Coturnix japonica: one gene and its partner. Each later gene encodes a partner of the first gene's protein in a complex. Links are inferred from orthologs where the notes say so. Each region holds a gene or a part of one and is shown in the gene's direction. Other genes may lie near its edges. The genes, in order: TNKS and USP25.

Region 1 (4,298 bases):
CGGGGCTCGGGGCGAACCGCGGCTCCGCGCCGACACCGCCAGCCGCGCCGCCCCGCGCACGTAGCCGCCGCCGCCCCGCCGGGGGCGGGACACGGGCACGGCCCGCCTGTAGGGCTGCCCCCGCCGGGAGCGGCGCCGAGCAGGGCCGAGTGTGCCACCTCCTGCCTTGTGATGAGCGTCAGCCCCGCGGCGAGCAGGGGGTGGATGTTCCGCCCAGCAGCTGGGGTGAACCTGCCCCGCCGTTAACGTGCCGTGCGGGGCCGGCAGCGCCGCGGTTACTCAGAGCAACTCCGCCACCTTCCTGCCGGGCTTTGTTCCTTCCCTCCGCCGCCCGCATCTGGCCGGATCCTCAGCACCGCATTAAATCACCGCGTTCACCCGTTGCTACATCTGCGCATCGCAAAGCTGCGGGTTCGGTGGCCATCTTTCTTTCCCATCGGTGATGAGCTGGAGCAAAGCCCTTTCCTCAGGTGCTCTGAGCCCGAGCAAACCTTCCCCGTGTTTCAGTTCAACACCGCATGAAGTCATCCCTGAGAAGGGAAATTTGGTGGTGTTGGCTGGCAAAGCCAAACACACGATACAAAAGGTGGGGAGGAAGCGTGGATGCGGGCAGGTAACTCAGCACCAGGCTGGGTTCAGGAGCTGCCCAAAGCATCAGAGACAATCCTGGGGTGCCTTTTGTCTCTGCGTTGTCCCTGTCAGAGCTGTTTTCCAGGCCTGTGCTTGTTTTCAGAGCATCCTTCAATCCCGACAGCGTATTTTTATCTGGGCTAACTCAGATTTTGTCTCTGTGTTGTTTTTTTTTAAGACCACTGAGGAAGCAGCCCCCTGAGCACACCAGGAGCTGCTTCCCACATCAGAAATAGCACATTCAGTTCCTCCTGAAAAGAGAACAATCCATCACATTGCCCAGCTGTTCTTGTGATACCATGCCCACGAGACTTTGTTTCCTGCTATCAAAGTAGCACGTTTCAATCAAGATGATGCTTCTAGGAAGTGAGATCTCTGCATGGAAAATCATTGCTGGCATCAAATTTGCATCATTAGGCACCTGAGGACAGAGAAAGCAGCATCATTACTGGGGGCAGCCACCCACACGGGCACTACAGATCTGAACCCAGATCAGGCTCCTGTGACCTGCAGCAGGCGTCACCCAGAAGGATGCCGGGCTGCATCCTCTCGCTGTGGAAGTAGACGCTCCTCCTTCCGACGGGGCGGGGCCTCCCATAGGGGTTGGGCCGGCAGAGGATCCCGGCAGGGGGCAGCACGGAGCCGCTGCCCGGCGTAGGGCGGGGCGCGATAAGGACACTCCCCGTCCTCCTTCCCCGCCCCGCCGCGGGACGTCCGGCCGCCGCGCCCCGCCATTGGCCGCAGACGGGCGGAAGGTGCCGCCGTTGCCGCAGTGACGGGAGCGGAGAGGGAGGCGGGGGAGGGAGGAGGGTGAAGATGGCGGCGCCTCTGCGCCGCTCCCAGCACCACCACCATCATCACGGGCTCCCGCCGCCCCCCGGGCCGGCCTCGCCGCCCGCCGCCGCCTCTCCGCCGCGCAGCCCCAGCCTCACGCCGGCCGAGCTCGGCCCGGCCGCGCAGCGCCACAGCCTGGCCGGGCCCGAGGGCGAGGCTCCCCCCGACGCCGAGCGGCCTCCGGCCCCAGAGTGCTCGGAGGGCGCCGCGTCGGGCCCGCCGCAGGGCTCGGGCAGCAGCTCCGGCAGCTCTGCCTCTTCCTCCTCCTCCTCCTCCTCGTCCACGTCATCGTCGGTAGCGTCGAGCCCGGCAGCGGAGAGCCCCGAGGCGGCGGGCCCGAGCGGGGCCTTCCGCGAGCTGCTGGAGGCTTGTCGTAATGGAGACGTGACGCGCGTCAAGCGACTGGTGGACGCTGGCAACGTCAACGCCAAGGATATGGCTGGCCGCAAGTCCACGCCGCTCCACTTCGCCGCCGGTGAGTGCGGGGAGAGGGGCGGGGGCAGCTCCATATGGAGCTCGAGGGCCGGGGCTCGGAAGGTGCGGGGGGATGTGAGCTATCCGAGCTCCGTATTTCTCATGCCAAGGCAGCGCGTAGCTTCTGTATGTGACTGAAAGGCACTGACAGGTTTCTTTGTGTTCCTCACGTGGCCTTCAAACTTTACTTTGTTTGGTTTGGAAGTGAGAAGGGAATTCAGGATGGAGTTCTCAGGGAGTGAGGGATTTCTTTTCTGGTAGCTCTTAAAAGCTAAAGACACCCGTAACAAGCCTTGCAACTTGTAACTTCTTTTTTCTAGTTGGTGTTTCCACTCCTCACTCAAACCAGACTGAGTGCTCAGTGATGAAGTGGAACAATTGAACTTGGTTAGGTAGTCGCACACGTGCTCAGGAGATGCTGTGCATCAATGCAGGGAAGAGATTGCACATGAAAAATTATATTGTGAAACAAGCTGACAGTGAGATTCAACAGGTGACCTTAAGAAGTAACCAGTGCTCTGTCCTTGGAGGTGCTGAAGGCCAGGCTGCATGAAGCCCTGGGCAGCCTCCATCTGGTGGGGTAGAACCAGCCTACAACAGGGGTTGGGACTGGGTGGGCTTTAAGATCCCTTCCAACCCAAGCTGTTCTGTAATGATTCTATGATTGCCTCTTAGCAAGCACAACTGTCATAAGTGAGCGTAGTTTATAATGAGAACAAATGTTACAGGGACTAGCCTTCATGGGAGGGGGGCGCGGGGTGAATTAATTCTATGATAGAAATAAAATGGGAGATACTAGGTCTGTGGTTGGACGGAGCTTTCTGATATGTGCCATAGTGTTGATATCTTGTCTGATATCTTTAAGCAGTGCTCTATTATGCACAAATAAAGTAATTAACAGGACTGATGAGTGGTCAGTATTTATGTGGTGCACTTGTGCATGTGAAGTGCTTGATGTTTTCAAGACGAATCTTGAGACTGCACTGCTTATTTTGGATTCAGGCTTGTAATAACACCTTGGTATGTCCCTTTAAACTTCAGGATCTCAGGTTGTAACTTCAGGGCTAGTGTAGAGTGTGGTGCTAAAGTTGCAGTGGTGGTTTCTACTTTGATTAGAAAGAAAGCAGACAAAACTTTAGATAAGGCTTTGAAAGGTGATGGTATCCATGGGGTGTTACTGTAACAGTAATGAAAGATACTTCCTTACAACATGAGGAAAACAGTGAGTCAGGTTCTTATATCTGGCGGACATCTGTTGTCTCCGTCTCCGGATTTGGAGATCGTCCTTAGCTGTGGTACATGTTTCCCATCAAATAAATGAGTATATCTGATTCAAAAGGATTTGGCATGTAGAAAGCGTTAGGGAGGCTTCTTAGTATTGATATCTTGAAGTCTTTTGTTTTGGAAAAGTCTGCATGGATGTTGTTAAATGCAGAGTGTCTCGGGCAGTGCATATTTGCTCATGATGCAGCGTTGATTGGATTTCCCATGGCCTTATAAGCACAGGAGTCTGCTGTGTATATTAAGCTACGTTGTGAATAATAGCTGTTGTTTTAGGAGACGTATCTAAATAGAAATTACGTGGCATTTATAAGGGAATAGGAGTTAAACCGTGCTGTATCCGTCTTCCAAAGCTCTTGAAGCTAAACTCTTAAGGCAAAAATAGAATTTCACTTCTGTTTCTGTGGGTTGTGGCAGAAGAATTATTTTAGTAGCTGGTAAATCTTCATTTTTCCTGTTTGTTGCTGTTGTTGTTTGTGTCTTTTTAGAGCAGCTGGATTCTTCTTTGTTGTTGTTTATTATCTTTTCCTGGGAACTTAGCTAAGGGGAAGTCTTGTTTTCTCAGACTCCCTTTTTGGCAACAATTTGAGGCAGCTGAGTTGTTTTTACTGTTAGAGGACAGGGCTGCTTTAGTTCTAGTTTAATGCTGTTTCTCAAGGTTTCCTTAAACTTTCAGAGGGTTCTTTTTTCTGAATCACTCCTATCATCTTTCTCATGGCAGGAGGAAGGTAAAAGGGGGGGGTGGCTTTGGGAACATTTAGGGTTCTTAGCACATGCATAGACTTAGGAAAAAGTGAGAACTTCAATTTCTGTAGCCACTTACTTTAAAAGACTTACTGTCTTGAAATTGTGAGCCTCTTTCAAGAGGTGAGCTTAGAGATGAATGAAAAACAAATACTAAAGACTTGCAAATAATTGACTTAAAAATAGAAAAAAGAGGTGAAGTGGAAGTGTAAATGTATTTGTATGTTTCTTTTATTCATTTACTTTCCAATGCAAACTACCAAAAAAAAAAAACAAAAAAACCCAAAAACAACTTAAAAGAAGCAACTGTACTAAGCCATAACAAAGGTTTGTTT
Region 2 (4,555 bases), on another chromosome or scaffold:
TGGACAGTGCCAAGCCCACAGGCCTATCCATGCAGTGCCAGAGGATGGCAGGGGGAAGCAGCTCTGGCTGTCACCAGTTGGGCCTGCAAACTGCAGTGAGGAGAGTAGTGCATACAGATACCCAACCCGCCCCTCACCCCCTGCACTTCCTATGACTTACTTTCTCCCGGCTGCAAGGATGCTCCAAACCCAGCTTCTTGCCATTTTCTTGACTCCATAAACTGGTCTTAAATAAATTATTTACGTATTTATTTTTCCATAATGCCGTTCATCTGAGGTGCCATAATTTGCAGATCTCAACACACAGACACACACACATCGTCCTAAGCAGCTCCCATTTGTTCCCATTTACCCCTCGAACCGACTATGGCCACCTCGCAGCCATCCCGGTCAAGAGTTATGGGGGAGGCGTGGTGCATCCTCAGGCCCCGTGTCAGAACAGAAGTCGCTGCCCGGGTAGCCGCAGAGAGCAGGTGAGTGCCGCTGCCGCCAGGTCCCGCACGGAGCCCGTTCTCCCGCGGGCATTCGACGGGCTGCAGCAGCTCCCGCCTCCCTGAGCACCGGGCCGGGGAAAGAGCAAACTCCGGGCGGAGACACCGCCGAGCCCGGCCGGGCAACGAGGCCGCTCGGGCCGGGCCGTCCCGCGGGGCCGTGTGCGGGCTCCGCCACCAAGATGGAGCCAGGCGCTGCCAGCAGTGCGTCCCGCTAGGCAACCGCAGGGCAGCCAGCCCGAGCAGGGCAGCGGGGCTCCGCTGAGGCAGGTGCGCGGGGCGGCGCTGCCGCTGGGAACCGCGGCGGAAGAGCTGAGGGCGGGGCCGGCGGCGTAGGCCGCGCTCCGGGCACGCTGGGCGGTGGCGGCCGCGCTGGGAGTGACGGCGGAGCCTGTGCCGATCGGCGCTGCCCCATGGCGGCCGCCCGGCTCGGCGGCCCGCCCGCCTGGCGGTAACTCGGGCTCCCCCTCCCGCCCCTCCTCCTCCTCCGCCTCCGTCGCCGCCGCCTCCTCCTCCTCCCGCTCCGCTCGCCCAGCCCGGGCCCGGCCCAGCCGCCACCGCCGCCCGCCCGCCGAGCCCGGGGCGCAGCCGGGAGCCGCGCGGGGCCATGACGGTGGAGCAGAACGTGTTGCAGCCCGGCGGCGCCGCCAAGGTGAGAGCGTTGTCCGGCCCCGAGCGCGCCGCGAGCCCCTGCCCCCGGCCGAGCCCGGGCCTAAGCGGGGCCGCTCCGCTCCCTGCAGGGCCACGGCCAACCGCGCCGCCGCCTTCCCCACCCGGGGAAGCGTGGTCCCGCCTGCAGCCGGGCCTGCGTCCGGCCCGCGCCGTGGGTCTGTCCGCAGCGCCGGCTGCGGGGTGAGCCCTGAGCCGACCGACCGCTGCCCCGGGGTGGGTGTGCGGGCCTGTTGCGCTCGTGGCTGCGGGAGGAGGGAGAAAAGCGCGGTGCCGAGGTTGCGGGAGGGCCTGGCCGCCGCTCCGTGCGGGTGGAGGATGCTCGTGTGCTTGGCATGCCGAGGCCGAGCAGTGTGTGCGAAAGGTGACAGCTATTTTGGGGCTGTGACACATACATGGCCGTGACGCTCTCTTACTGAAGTAGAAAAGCGGTGTGTTTAGGGGCTGTGTTAATGCACGTTATGAAATAGGGCTGAGCGAGTGGCGGTGTTATACATCTTTTAATGTAGATCGGGAGTTGCTGAAAAAGCTCTTCAGAAATGGATACCCTCTGTAGTTCTTTGCTTGCAGCAAATGGGACTGGCAAGGGGAAGAGGATCCCGGAATCTAAGCACGGGGCTCTCTATTCCCCCCTGAAGGTAACTGTTGCTTGCTCGTGTGCCCGCCCTGCTTACAGGACAGACCTGCCTCCTCTCCCCTGCTGTGTTTCTTTTTTTTCCAAGGCATGTCCTGGTTTTGTGGGATCATGGAGGTAGATCTGCATGGGCATAGTCAGGATGGAAGTTTAATGGCAATGGTTACACTTCATAAGCAGTGATGAAGATGTAATTGGTCCAGGTGGTGCAACTTGCATTCACAAAGCTCTCCTGGAGGGCGAGGCAGGTATCTCTTGGCTGCTGTCAGCTAGGAGCATGTATTTTGGCAGCTTCTGTAGGAAGAAGAGGGCTGAATGGACATTTTTGTCCCTTCTTTCCTTTGTTGATGTGGATTTCAGTTGAGGAGGGCTAGCAGACTGCATGCCAGGCTTCTGCTGATCGGGCTTCTGCTGTGCTTTCTGTATTTGAATATTTCTTCATTGGTGGTATTTATCTGACAGCTTTTCTGAGAAGCTGGTCTTCCACAAAACGTATAGTTGATGCTTTACTTAAATATCCCTTAATTACTGTATTGGACATTCTGTTACATAATCCTCGCTGCACCCTTCTAGGACTCCATAGTCTATCAGCTGCGCTACAGGGAAAACGTTATGGATGAACTATTGCTTACAGGTCAGGAGTTCAGGAGGATCACAGTTTCAGGGATTTCTTTACTGTGAGGGGGACAGAGCACTGGAAGTGGCTGCCCAGAGAGGAGGCAGAGTTTCCCTCTCCGGAGATATTCAGAACCCGCCTGGACATTTCCCTGTGCAACCTACTCTGGGGAACTGCTTTAGCAGTGGCTTGGACAAAGGTGGGTCTCCAGAGGTCCCTTCCAATCCACCTTTACAGTTGTGTGTAATAAGCTTAAAAAGTGGCTGGGGGTTGAATCGTACGGGTCATCGGGCGCTGTATACACAGAATTAAAGTCAGAAAGAATTCTGAGGCTGACATTTCTCTATGAAAGTAAATTACTACAGTATCTTCAGAAGCTGTATAAAACTACAAACTTTATTTCATAGTACAGTTGTTTTTTTTTTTTTATTTCTGTTGAACCATGTGATTATTTTACTGGGATTCCTTATTACCTGCTTCATCCTTAGTTGCATTCTGGGGGAGGCAGAGACAAACTTAAGAATATCTTGGAAAAAATCGTGTTAGACTCCAATCATTATTTAGTGAGGCAATCAAGCAGCTAACTGGGTGAAAGACTTTGACACTGTACTGTTTATTCTCCTTTAAAAAGAAAATTTATGGAAGTACAGTGGCTTGAGGCATGGTTGGAGGGATTACCACTAGCTCATCATCATCCCTCAGAAGAAGGTCCCATGCTCTGTAAATAGAGTTTGTTCTGCAGACCTCAAAGTTTGTTGTGATTGTTTTCTGTTAGTACAAGGAGACCACATCTAAACAGAATTATATTGGATTTCCAAGAGATGGCTGAGTCACCGGCATACCTTATTCACAACTCTGGTTCCCAACATTGTTCATCAGATGTTTTCTTACTGTCGTACAGGAAGTATGTGTCAAACTTAAGCGGTACTGGGAGATGCACATTTTTATTAATAAATTCCCCAAGTACAAACAGCCCACTTCCCACTGAAGCTGTCTTTAGTTTGTTGTACAGTCAAAGAATTTGGATCAGTTCAAAGGAAATTCTTACATGTTGAGTGATCATCTTGACTCCTTATTGAAAGCGGTAATTTATCTTCTGGAGCAAATAATCAGTCTTTTTACTCTTGTCACTCTCAGCTCCTGTGTGATCCTGTGGTGTGGTGGGGTGTTTGTAGGCTGTCTGTTTTTACCACATGAAGCCCAGAGAATTTGAATGTGGCTGCAGAGTCTCTTGTGCTGTGGAGGCCCTTCTCTGGTCCCTGTTCCTGAGGCAGTGGGTACAAGAGCAGGGGTGGGGCAAAAGGTAATTTTCTAGTAATTGGGGGGAAAAAAAATGATGTGGAGAAGTCAGACATGCTTCAGCAGTGTGTCAGCCTAACCGTAATTACTGTGATGGTCATCTTGTGACAACAGATTGGAGAAACTGGATTTCAGAGGGCGATAGCTGGCGTCTCAGCTATGTGTGTCATCGAGTTCTACTGCTTTTGGGGAAGGGCTGAGTGTTAGTGTGTACATGGACTTAAAGCATACTTCATCAATCCTCTCCTTTCCCTGAAACAAAAGGATATTTGTTTCCACTCCCCTGTTATTTCAGACCTGTGATTCAGCACTATATTGGTAGTCTAATCACAGGAATAAAGTTAGAGATATCAGCTCTTAAATTAATTAATTAATTTAATTTTTTTTTAAATTTTGGAGAAGCACATGTCTTTGAGGATATTTAGCACTAGAAACAATGCATGGCATTAAGCAAGGTCTAATACAATTCACTTCTTTTCCTCTTTTTCAGGATATTGAGAAACCTCTGTTAGCTAGTGTACGTATTTCTGCTGTGCTTGACCTATTTGATGTCCTTATTGGAAGAGTGTAGTGCTGTAGTAGTGACAGCTTTTCTTTGCTGAAAACAATAGTTGCTAACTTTTTAATGTTGTGCAGTTGTCTGTACATAAGGTGATGCAGTCATGTGTCTCCAGCAACAGAAACAGTGATGTTTCTTCGGTTCTGAATGTCAGGAGGTGATCTCAGAGAATATCCCCTCGGCATGTGGTACATGCAGAAAGTATGTGAGAGTTGTACTGTTTTTCACCTTGATAGATGGTGACCTTCCCAGCAACCATACAGCCTTCATAATCTCAGTGTTACAAT

What was found.
Region 2: the proteins of TNKS (region 1) and USP25 are in contact, whole or in part, in a crystal structure (PDB 5GP7), measured with the Homo sapiens proteins. The link is inferred for Coturnix japonica from reciprocal best matches to the Homo sapiens genes TNKS and USP25. Residues at the interface, in NP_003738.2 of Homo sapiens: Arg836, Ser838, His842, Leu843, Gly846, Tyr847, Leu871, Asn876, Ser879, Tyr880, His882, Asp900, Trp902, Phe904, Glu909, Gln912, Lys913, Gln934, Glu935; in NP_037528.3 of Homo sapiens: Ser1046, Ser1048, Arg1049, Thr1050, Pro1051, Ala1052, Asp1053, Gly1054, Arg1055.

Annotation. Positions count from the first base shown.
Region 1 is NC_029519.1:44,128,784-44,133,081, reverse strand, and holds the start of TNKS (poly [ADP-ribose] polymerase tankyrase-1), read left to right. Parts: upstream 1-1,409; 5' UTR 1,410-1,446; coding exon 1,447-1,939; intron 1,940-4,298.
Region 2 is NC_029516.1:88,684,992-88,689,546, forward strand, and holds the start of USP25 (ubiquitin carboxyl-terminal hydrolase 25), read left to right. Parts: upstream 1-1,649; 5' UTR 1,650-1,699; coding exon 1,700-1,798; intron 1,799-4,555. UniProt on the Homo sapiens protein: Deubiquitinating enzyme that hydrolyzes ubiquitin moieties conjugated to substrates and thus, functions in various biological processes including inflammation and immune response.